Oryzias latipes: one gene and its partner. The protein of the gene in region 2 purifies or fractionates together with the protein of the main gene of each other region. This does not show direct contact. Links are inferred from orthologs where the notes say so. Each region holds a gene or a part of one and is shown on either strand. Other genes may lie near its edges.

Region 1 (5,699 bases), on a different chromosome or scaffold from region 2:
ATGAGCCCACAAACACCTACAGCAAACACACAAAGTCTGGTCAGTGTTTTAAACCTACAAAAGAAAGAAACTACAAAAAGTAATGCTTGCAGAAATCAACTAAATTTAGACGACACAGTAAACTTTTCTATGATGACGCTAAAGTTTGGACAAACTACAAGAGAAATCTTTAGTTCATGTATTTTGTCATTTCACATTTTGGTGAGGTTACAAACTTAGAAAAGAAAGGATTTTTCAAAAAAAAAGTAGAGAAATTACAATTTATTATACAATGAGATGCACTTTCCGTTCAAACGTTGGTGCCTAAATCAGTTTGGGAAAGGCGGACAGCAGAGAAACAGTTTTGTCGTGGATTGTAAGAGGATCTCTGAAGTCCTCTGGCAGAGGACGGCATTTCCACGCTCATGTGGACAGTCTCTCTTTTGACTGGCATGATGAGGGGGACAAGCTGCCTGCTAGTCAGCAGTTTAAGTGCGAGTGCAAATGTTTGCTGAGGGGCTGAAGCACTCTTCCCCGGCCAGGGTAAACTGATTGTAGACTCATTTGCAAATGAAAAAAAAAAAAAGAATATGGAGCAAAGAGAGGCGAGCAGGAAGTAGCGGAAGGTGCTTAGCTTAACAGGGAGACCGGGATTATGCCCCCATGACGTGCAGTTCATTGGGTGGAAGTGAGGGATCAACCGGAGATGAAGAAATTGAACTGGTGCACGTGGGGAAAATTTGCCATTAGGCCAGCGCTCGGCTACAGCTAAGGCCTTACAGGATGCTGCAGCAGGATGCTGAGTGGGAACAAGTGCGGCCATTTAGTGGAAAGTCATCCAACAGCAGGAAGAAGGTGAAAAGAAAAGAGAAAAAGGCGAGTAAGGCAGCGCCAGGAGAAACTCAGAGAAAGAAAGGGCAGAGAGAAAAAAAAAAGGCCCAACATCAGGGAAAAAGGAGAGAGAAAAAAGGAAGAGGAAAGCGGTGAAGAAAGTAAGAGCTGGCTCCAAAAGCAGACATGCTCGGCGTTGTTTGTTTTGTGTAAAAGTGAATGATAAAAGAGGCATGAAATCAGGAGAGAAAGGCAAGACAACAGCAAGGGTCCAGAGCCCTCCATCACAGCTCATACAGCTCCATACTGACGGCTTTGCACAATGAGACCCAAATACTGACAACCCTTACACCCCCCCATTACCACCTCCGCAGCTGAGTGTGTGTGTGTGTGTGACTGGTTAATAATTGACTTATTCTGCTCCGCTGGTTCAGAGAAGTCACGTGAAGCTGGGAGATCCATCACCACAGCCACATTTATTTGTAATGAAATTATTGTTCAGGTTCATTAAAACCCTTTGAAGTATAAAAATGGAAATAAAGTTAGGATATAACAAAAAACTTTACATTTTCCAACTTCTTTTCCTGTTTTTAGAGTAAATTTTGGTGTAAAGGCCAGCTGTTGCACATCTGGGTGCGTGTGTCGGGTTCTCCTTCAGCTAACCCCACAGCGACCCTCATCTTCGTCATCATCTGAGACGGAAGACATTGTCTCACCCCGAGTTGACCGCCCAGCGCCCACCGCCTTAATGAAGAGAGTAACTTATGCATGGCGCCAGTTAGCTTTTTGATTAAAACATCATAGAAGACCTCTTTAGGGGAGGTGCTGCAAAACAATGGAGGTTGTAAACACTTTTTCCCCCAGTAGCAGCAGAATACTGCAGGGGTGTAATAAATTTGCATAGTCTGGGACGGGACAAAGAGCCAATTAATTGAAAGGAGCTCTTGAGAGATGCGGACGGGGGGCAGTGACAGGAACAGATGGAACAAATGGTTTTCCTCTGCTGATACAGTCAATTCCTGTCTTCCAGGAGCTGGCCTGAGAGTTGGTGACATCAACGCGAGGCTTTTGTATTTTCCTGGCAGTTCTGACATGTCAACGCCGTCAGGTTTGCACCTTTCTGCCCGTGTCGACTGCTGAACTTGTCTCCAATCTCCGGCCTCCTGGTCTGCCTCAGCAGGATCTTGATGAGGAAGGCATCTTCAGCATTGGAGGAGATCATGACCTTCTCGATGTACGAGTCTGTGGAACCTTTATAGCTGCAAACAGAGAGCATCATTGAAGATTCAGATGTTTACAGCTGAACAGAAGGATTATTGGTGGTGTGGGGAGGGAGTTGGGGGCAGAAACTCACCTGATGGGAACTTCTTTGTACTGGGGCTGGCCTGGCTGGGCACTGCCCTCCAGTGGCGTCTGAGTGACAGTTGGCATTGATTTATTCACCAAAATTTGTTTGTTCTCCACTTTTTCACCTGAAGCAATCCCAGCACACCAAACCAAGTTAGCAAAAGCTTTGCAAAGACACACACACACAAAAATAAATAAAAAAGAAGAGTACCTCATCTATAGATACAATTCAAAACGTCCGGGCCGGCACTTTCGCATAAAAACAAATACGTATTTCCAAAAAACTATAACAACTGAGAAACAAATGACTTGAAATGAGTCAATAAGTGATCGCTTCCAGAATGAGAACCTTCACCTCTGAGAAAGTCTCTTGGTACTAAAGTAAGCTTTTCTTTATTTCCCAGTATCCCTTTGTCTACACTCTCTCCCGCTAGCTTACAGGCCCTCACAACCCCAACCTAAGATTAGCGGTGCAATAAAAATGAGGAGAGAGAATGGAGCTATCCAGCCATGCAGTCAGATATCAGCTCAGACGAGGAAAACAAAGAGGTAGATGGATATAGTGGACACATTAGAATGGAGCGGAGCAGGGAGCTTGTGGCTGTTTGTTCAGACGACATTTTTTCGTTTTCTCCTGATCCACAACAATTTGAATGAAGAAATACCCAGAAATGCAATTTTAAGCTTAATTTTCTTCATGTATCTCCTTTAAATAAATGCCACAAGAACAAAAAAACACCAAGAACACAGTTTTCATCAGATTGGCCCTTTAAGCCCAAAAAAGGGATCATCTTTACCACTGATGATCATCCAAAAGTTCATCCATTATCTGTCTATCCATGATGTCTAATGTCTAATGAATGCAAAAACTGCAGGACTCAAACTCTAAATATTACTCAGAAGAATTCCCAGAAGAAACTTGAGTCTCTCTAGCTGTCACAAAACTGCATCAGAACTTCAAGCTGGTAGAACAAAGCTGAAGACTTCTGGTGATGAAGAACATTTCATACAAATCATCAAAAATAAAGGTGGAAAGGTCATGATTAGGTCTCTCTTCCACCTGGAGCCGCAGAGTCGGAGTGCACAGTCCCAACAGTTTTTAACATTCAATTGCTCGTCTCTCTTTCAATTGATTTCACTGTGGTTCAATCAGTGATTGTTGTAAAATGCTTTATAAATAAAGCTTGATTAATTGATCGATTTGAAAGGCATGATTCCAATAGATCTTGGGTTTAAAAAAGCTGGGAAAAACGGAATCACTCAAAGCGAAATCTTTAAATGAACAATCAAAATAGTTGCCGCCGTAGATTTTGATGCAAAACTTGTGCCTCCTCCCGCTCAGCTGGTACTCACCAGGACAGCAAATGCCATCAGCATCCAGGATGTTGTGTCTCCAAAGGGGTTTGCGTGTAGCAGCATCCAGCATGGGCCCCATGACTTTGTCAAAAGTCTGGTTTGTGTACCGTCTCAGTGTGCACTTGGTATTTTTGTAAACAAGGCATCGACCAAATCCTGTCAGGAAACAGTCAAAGATTAGACCTCAGATCGACTGGCGTCGTTAAACATGCCCTTTCTGACTAAAGTCAAGAGTTTTCAAAACAAAAAAAGTGGTAGAAAAATGAAGCTCCCACCTCTGTCAAGCGAGGCTTTGTTGAGGACTAGAGCGTCTTCAATGTCGTAGCCGCTGTAGCTCATCACTGCCACAGTGGCATTCTGACCCGCAGGCAGCTTTTCAAAGTCAATCAACTCGATGGTTTTGGTTTTGACCATGGGCCTCTGAGGGTACGCCAACAGGTACATCAGGGTGTCTATGCGGTTCCTCTGGTTGTAGCCGATGGTTCCTGGAAACACAAAATATAAGACCTTCCAAAATCTTCTGTGATAAAATGTATCATTTTGTTTTTATTACATTTTCTATAATATTTGATTGATTCAATCTTTAAAGTAAATTGTAGAGGTGCTGAACTGGGCCCATTTAGCTCACAGAGGAGCCAGTTATGGCATAAAGCCCGGCCTCCCCGGCAGCTTTGACATTTGTCAGATGCTATTACTTAACAATCAGCCAACAAGCAGAGAGTCTGTGATAATAGGCTCAGGCCACACAACCAGATTTGCACATGTATGGAGCTGTCTATACAAAACAGACAACACAGAGGATATTGGGCCAAATATAGTTCCAGTCAGTGTTTTTGTAAGGATGGGAGGAGGGGAGGAAGGGTCGGACGGACGTGTAGCACGGGGGGGGGGCTCGATTCCTACGAATGCGAGCAGGTCCGTTTGGGGAAGTTTTGGTTACCAAGGAGCCGCGGGTGCACACTCTGTGGTCTTTTGCAGCTGAGCACACTGACCCCCCGAGCACTGCCAGAGCAGACACAATGAATTGCTAATGACACTCTGGGTGACTGGCAGGGAAAGGGCCTCCACACACACAGCACAATGAGAACCTACGCAAACGCCCCATGTTTGATGTCCGTGCGCATACACACCTCAACCCACACACACACACACACACACACACATTAGACAAACACTCAATCACACATACAAATGTATTCTGACATGAAGGAGGAGAGCTTTGGGGGGGACAAACCAGCATGCTGTATTTCTAATTACTTTTCACTTGTTCAAACTCAAATCTGAACTTAAAAACATTTCTGATGTAACAATAAAATAAAGAAACGGCTTTGCTAAGCCTTACCCATGGCCTGCTTGCCCATAGCACACTGGTACGTGTTCCTGGGCGACTGGTTGTGGTGGGGGTAGGGAATGAGGCCTGCACACACTCCAAGCAGCGTGAACGGCTCGATCTCCAAGTGTGTCGTTTCTCTGCCGAAGGAAAGGTGTAATGATTGACTCAAACCACCAGGGCGCTTTCTTGAAAGCTCGCTGTGACTCACTTGTTGATCATGTGTTCATAGAGGGCGATCTGACAGTCGTTCTCCTCGTTGACGTCTAGATACTCCACCAGGCCTTCGTGCAGGAAGTCCTCAAAGTTTCTAAGAGGAAACATTCAAATCTGCTGTTTCAAGGATTTTTTACAACAGATCACATGCTGGTGCTTTACATTAATTCATGACAAAGATGTATTTTTTTACTAGTCACACATTAGACTGGGACACAGGCTAAAGGTCAAATACATCAACAGTGTTTGAAATAAAAACTTCAAATTATCTACACGAAGTATGATTTAGCTTCAATTTCAAACTAAAGTACACAAGTCACAAAAGTTCATTATATTATATCAGAAAAAACTACTAAAGCCTTCATATAACGTGTTTCTATGCACAAAATCCATTTCCGTTTATTTCATAATATTTGCAATGCACAAACTTTATTTTCTATGAATTTTCTGCCTAATTCAGTTTCTAATAAAGTTAGAAAATTAGAAACACAAAGTGTGCAACTGAGCAATAATACAAAACCAATTCTTTATTATTTAAACAATTTTATTTTTAAAACCTACTTTGCTAAAACATGTTTGGCTGTGATCCTCAAAAAAAAAAAAGGGGGGGGGGGGGGGCCTTTTGTGACAAAAACTCACC
Region 2 (6,415 bases):
CACAGACATCCATAACAACATTCCAATTCTACGAAGGCGAATATTAAAACTCCATCCCCCTTTTAAGCACCATATTGTTTTCACTCACCTATTTAATTCAATTGGAATTTAATTTATGTGCTGCCAGGAAGCCTTTGTTCTGGCTGCAATTGTGATAGTTCAAGACAATACCAAGACATTTTTGACAATTCTGTGATCCAAACTGTATGGGATCAGCTTTGAGGATGGCTCAGAGAAAGTCCATAAAGACATAGATGAGAGTGTATGGTGAGTCACTTCTGCATGGTCCACAACTCAACTGGATAGAAAAACTTTGGAATGAATTAGAGCGAAAAATGTTTGTTGGTTTTCAACCAACAAATCAAATGCACTTCTAGAATGGTCTAACATTTCTGTAAACATACCATTAAAGCTTGTAGAAAAAAATCCCAGGACAGTTGAAGCTTTTATAGATACAAAGGGTGGGCTGACATTAGAAAAATAAACTCTATGGGTTATAAATGAGATGGAACTTAAGTTCATAAAGGCTAACACACAAAAACAAACAAAAACAGTGGCTCTGACACAGCAGAAGGCTGCGTATTGATTTATGAAATCTTGACCACAGTCCAACAGTTGGAGCTGCTCTGCACAAATGCAGATCTGATGTAAGTGCAGAGTGCTGTGTAAATGTATGCTTTAACCCTTGTGGTATCCTAGGCACTTTGACATTGGGAGTGAGGTCATCTAATCTAGACCCCACTAGACAGCGCGCTGAACCTTTTTTCTTTAATGATTTGTGATCTTCACTGGTTTCCATGGATTACATGAAATCCTCTCCATCTTTATCCACGGTAGGGAGAACACGTCAATGGCCATCTTGACCCCATAGGATAGCACAAGGGTTAGACAGGGCTGTTCATTCCTGATCCTCGAGATCTACCACCCTGACGGTTTTCCAGATCTCCAAGTCCTGCTAGCGGATGATTAGCTCAATCAGATGTCTCCACATTCTGATTGAATGAACACACCTGCTCCAGGTAGTCAGCAGCAAGCAGTGCAGGGAGAGATGGAAAACAGGCAGGGCGATAAATCTCGAGTACCAGGAATGAGGAGCCCTGGTTTAGAAAATGCTTATGTCCAGAATATACTTATTCACAGACAGGATGGTGGGTGATAAATATCCCAGTGCTTTGCTGTGTGTGTGAGAAAAACCTACACACTCATTCCTGAAAGTAACAGAATCTGCCAAAGTCATCAGCATGGTGACTTAAAAATAGATCAGCTTTGCAGGAAGAGAGCCAAGACAATGGTGAGGACCACACAGTATCCCAACCTCACCCATGTGCAAATATTTGAAAGTCTGGTTTCTTGTGTCTGGCTTGTCACTGGGCCATCTGTTAATTTCGTTTTGCAGAAATTTGGTTTGAGAATGAGAAGGATTTTGAAACTCTAATACACTGAATGAAGTTTTTAAGTTGTAGGTTTGACCCCAGATTTAGCCCCCACTAGCACCAAGCACCACATGTGTGCTGACAGATGCCCTGCCTACCCTCTTGCAGTATGTGCGTGGGCTGAACAGCCTTGACTTTGTAGTTCCTTGCTCTCCACCCTGGACTGGGGCGCTCGGCTATCTCCCTGTCGCTCAACCAGGTGACCGTCTCGAAGTTGTCTCCGTTGGCCAGCGCATCGACCTCTGCGCTGTGGACGCCCACCTGTTGGAACTGATGCAGACCCCCCGAGTGGTCGAAGTGGGCGTGAGTGGCGATGGCCAGCAGCGGGTTCTTCCTCTGCGGGTCTTTTCCCAGCAGCCCCTTGGAGTCGATGTAGTCAGGTAAGCTCCTCAGCCCCAGGCCGGTGTCTATCACCACGTCCTGATGCGAACCGCGGAGCAACCAGATGTTGGCCCGGTTGTCCGATTGATAAAACCGCTCCTGGATCCAGAATAGTCCGTCTCCGAGCGACTTGTGGGCGTACCAGTCGGCTGCAGACATCCCAGGACATGCAAATGTCGAGGTAAGCTTCGGAAGGGAGACGCGCCGTCGGCTGAATTAGCACAACAGTGTTAGTAGCCTCGTAGCTAGGAGCAGTGTGGTTTCATTGAAGCTGTAATGATGGTGGCCGCACACACCCTTGTTTGAAAGCAGCCAGCCCATTGGTCGAAGTGAGAAATGACGGTAGATGTGAACGCGGCAGCGATTGGACGAAAATAAGAAACGCCCTATTGGGACGTAAGCAGGGGCGGAGAGGGGAAAGCATCTGCTCACGCTGACTAGTCTATTGGTTACACATGCGTTTCCCAGCCGGTTCCACAAAAAAACCATAGAAAGAAGCGATAGGTTTATTTACTTATCTTTTTCGCCTAAATGTAAGCTAAACCGCTAAGCCACAAACTCGGACCGTTTAGCTTTAACAAATAAATCAAATTCAATAAGATTTCATTGGGAAACACGTGTCATTTATAGTTATAAAACTTTATTTTTTTATCTCACGTCTCCATAAAAGGAGAGTTTTACCAGCAGGCCTCCTGTAAGTATTTATGAAAAAATATATATCAGGGAAAAATTGTCATTTCTCATAGCGGACTCAATGGTGCAATACCGGCAAGCACGTGCTTGTCAATGACGGTGCTTGCCTGAGGATGAACCGTGTGTTGCAGGTCGTGGTCAGGGGCGCAGCCATGGCAGGCAAAGGCCGCGGGGTGGCTGCGTTTACCTTCAACATTGATGCTCTGGGCATTGGCAGAGGCAACATGCCAGAAGCCAGGGTGGGGCCCAGTCCACTGTTTCCAGTAAGTAAATGCCACACAAACACGGAAAGATGGAAGGTTTAATTAGCAAAAATTCAAGTTTTATTTAAGTAAAATAAATTGGCATGTGTCATCAACGTAGGGCTTTTAGTGTACTCTCCCTGTGTAGTCTCAGTACTTTGTAAAATGTGCTCAGAAAGCAAACTATGATGTAATCTATTTTGTGTCAAACACTTGGTTTATGGACACTTTCTGAGAATGACTGCCTGCTTGGATTACACCAATTTTCAGATAAACAAGAAACGTGTCACTGTAATAAATATCTTGCATCATTTGCCCTTATTTAGACTACTGAATTTAAACCGGTTCCACTCAAAGGAGGTGAAGAGGAAGACTACATGCTGGCGTTAAAACAGGAATTAAGAGGAGCAATGCAGAGGCTACCACACAACATTAAAGCTTGCTCCAGCAAAACGGGTAGGGGGGAGAGTGCTGACATATGAGAGATTTCTACGTCAAGATAATTCTGGGCTGCTGGAAGTGGAGATAACTGCTGCTTTTGGGAAATCAGACATTTTATGAGTGTTATACATAAGAGAAATGAGATTCTATAGTTACTGCTTATGCCTCATTATGAAGTTTTCAATTGTTGTTGTTTTTTTAGGGGTCCATCATTACAGATATTTTAAACATCTTTAATTTTCTTTGGTCTATGACATAAACCCAAGAAAAAACTTAAAGGAGTACATTTAATTTAAGTCACCTGTTAAAAAAAAGACAATTTCTAATCCAGGTTCCAGACTTTTGATCATTAGAAAATACTTTTTAAGATTCATTTATGAACAAATAATTTGGTACAATGCATAAATGTCTAAACAATAAATTTATTTTTGCTGTAGCAATGAATTGATTCCAGAGATTAACTTTCATTTGTTTTTTATCTTTTATGTTTAGTAAAAAAATTCTCACTGATCTGATACTTTTTTCAAATGTACTCTGTTGTTCTGTTTACATGAAACAGAGGTGGAGAAATACACTGAAAGATACTTGAAACAAGCCCAGATTAACAGTGAGGAATGGACTCCAGGTAATTGCTTTAGATGGAAATTTTTTTTTCAAAAGGTGTCATGTAAAGTAATGCAAACATCGTGTCACACATTTCAGACTGGAACCTTTTTCCCAAAGAACTGATGCCCCAAAGTAAAAAACGTAGAATTAAGAAAGGTAAATTAAAGTCACATTGCATGCAGGAAATGTTGAATGCGTGTTTTTTATTTATTTAAAAAGTGTTTTTTGCTTCAGGCACCAAGACTAAAACTGTGAAGAAGTTGAAGGAAGATAAAGCCAATGTGCTCAGTAAACTGGATGTAAGCCTATCTTCCTTCTTTAGCTTTTTTAGACTATTTAAATGTTTTTTTTTCTTAATTGAACTTTGTACAAGGATGTCTTTAGGCGCTGTCATTCGGTGCTGAAGTTAGTAGGCACATGCCTTTAAAATAAAAAAATCTAGTTTGGAAACTGCCATAAGGACAGAATAGTTTAAAGCCATGTGAAAAAAGATTATGGTTGTACGAAGTTTTAGCAAGATTTTGCAGAAGTCTACATCTGTGTAAAATATAAGGCACAATTTTACCTGTTTTTTTAATACCAACATTAGACTGAAAAACGCTTATTGTACTGGTGCTTCTGATTTTGAATTGGTAAAAAAAGTAAAAATCGCATGTCCCTTTCTGAAACTGATCAAATTACATCAAGTTTAAAAACAGTTTGACTCTTGAATGATCTTGACAGACCCATCTTTAGTGTCTGATGGGCTTAAATCTATTTAAAAAGGAAACTGTTCAGACTTGAACATTTCTTCCTTAACTGATCGGCTTTAAACACATTGGCCCAAACCATACTGCCAAGCAGAACAAAGAGAACTGCTGTGAAAATGTAGACTTTTTTTTAAATGGGAAGAAAGCCTACCATTTAGTTTGAATCCCACCCCAAAAAATCTGCTCAGGAATTGGCCAAGAAAGATGAAAATCCTGAGAAGTCAGATGAGGAAACTGAGAAGAAAGCAGAGGACGATGAAGAAATCGAAGAGGAAGAACTCGAAGAAGACATAGAAGAGGTTTGGTCCCAGGAATAGTGGAAAATCTGCATTGGTCTTATTTGATGCAACTAATGTTTTATCTGCTTGTTGCTCCTCAGGAAAATGACTACATTGAAAGCTATTTTGACAACGGTGAAGATTTTGCTGCTGAAAGTGACGATAACATGGATGGGGAAGCAACCTACTGAAGCCCATTTTGCATGGCTTTGACAGTTGCATATGAAATGTCTGTTTAGCTAAAGCTCGTAAGCCAAGTAACTTCATGTTTACGCCATGTAATTATTTAATGGATATGTATATATAAGCATAAATATGCAGACTTCAAAAAATAAATTATTCAAAATAGATATTTATTAAGCCTGCAGTATATTTCCAACTTGAAAGGCACACAGTCAACAAAACTGTCACAGGATAGCAACTGTACAATACATAACATTTAGGTAATTTATCTGGGAACATTGCATATTAAGATATTGATGCACATATGCAGTTTTACCACAGTTTCATGTCCAGCCAGATTCAGGACACTTGGATAAAACAAGGTTTCATTGAAAATTCAATACTGGTAGTATCACTGAAGCTCAGTCTTGACAATAGTTTAAAACCCCGTCATAGTTTAACACAATAGTATTTCACGTGTGCACAAAGGAAAACATTAAGATTTCTTCCAGAAGAAATTTTGTAAAAAAAAAATTAGACCTGATTTTTACAAACAGATGGTTCACTGGGAAGAAAAAACCTCACAGCAACTAATTCTAAAAGCATTTGTAGCCATCTTTATTAGCAAAATCTTGTTATAGTTTCATGTATGACATCTTGCAGAACGAATGTGGCAAACTTTGTTTTTGTCTTTAAACTATCACATTCTTTTGGACATTTTACTGAAGCAACAAAACTGCTTTGCTGTTAGTCAAATTGATAAAGGCATTTTCCTGCTGAATCTTGAGTTCAAAAACAAAAAAAACCTCTCATCAGCTTGAGAGTTAATGTTTGACAGCAAGATGTCAACTTCCCACAAAACTGTCCAAACATCTCCTTTTGTCTCCACTGTCCAAAGCAGGATATTCAAGACTTTTGTGGGCTGTTAAGGTTTACAAATTAGCAACTAAAGAATTGAACTTGTTAGTTAAAAAAAAAAAAATTGTTAGCATAGACAAATCAAATGTCCCTTTCTGAAACTGATCAAAGAATATCAAGTTTAAAAACAGTTTGACTCTTGAATAATCTTGACAAACCCATATTTAGTGTCTGATGGGCTTAAAACCATTAAAAAAAAAGAGAAACTGTTCAGACTTTGTGAACATTTCTTCCTAAACTGATCACAATTCTTTAAAAAAAAAGAAAACGAATGTCTTTCACCCCTGGCATTGAGCTAGACACCTGAATATTCCAAACAAACCTCCAAAACCTACTGTTGTAGAGGTAGTCACAGTTGCTAAATACCAGTAATAAAGTGCATCATAAAGAGTGTGTGGCTGTTTGTTTCCCCATTTTCTATCTAAGCAAGCTTTAAGGTTTGTATTGTAGTTTCACCAACAGAATTTTAAGGCCAAGTAGGAGACAAGCATCTGTCCTAATATTCCAATGCG

The links.
Region 1: the proteins of polr3g (region 2) and polr3b fractionate together in Homo sapiens (co-fractionation; 4 studies listed by BioGRID and IntAct, with this or other methods). This does not show direct contact. The link is inferred for Oryzias latipes from reciprocal best matches to the Homo sapiens genes POLR3G and POLR3B.

Annotation. Positions count from the first base shown.
Region 1 is NC_019864.2:21,486,915-21,492,613, reverse strand, and holds part of polr3b (DNA-directed RNA polymerase III subunit RPC2), read right to left. Parts: coding exon 5,699-5,699; intron 5,154-5,698; coding exon 5,055-5,153; intron 4,984-5,054; coding exon 4,856-4,983; intron 3,999-4,855; coding exon 3,789-3,998; intron 3,670-3,788; coding exon 3,511-3,669; intron 2,283-3,510; coding exon 2,165-2,282; intron 2,070-2,164; coding exon 1,927-2,069; intron 17-1,926; coding exon 1-16. UniProt on the Homo sapiens protein: Catalytic core component of RNA polymerase III (Pol III), a DNA-dependent RNA polymerase which synthesizes small non-coding RNAs using the four ribonucleoside triphosphates as substrates.
Region 2 is NC_019867.2:16,254,429-16,260,843, reverse strand, and holds polr3g (DNA-directed RNA polymerase III subunit RPC7), read left to right. Parts: upstream 1-2,258; 5' UTR 2,259-2,508; intron 2,509-2,638; 5' UTR 2,639-2,659; coding exon 2,660-2,770; intron 2,771-3,075; coding exon 3,076-3,205; intron 3,206-3,749; coding exon 3,750-3,815; intron 3,816-3,892; coding exon 3,893-3,952; intron 3,953-4,030; coding exon 4,031-4,095; intron 4,096-4,733; coding exon 4,734-4,844; intron 4,845-4,924; coding exon 4,925-5,014; 3' UTR 5,015-5,173; downstream 5,174-6,415. Other genes in the region: mblac2 (metallo-beta-lactamase domain-containing protein 2), read right to left, coding at 1,532-1,973. UniProt on the Homo sapiens protein: DNA-dependent RNA polymerase catalyzes the transcription of DNA into RNA using the four ribonucleoside triphosphates as substrates.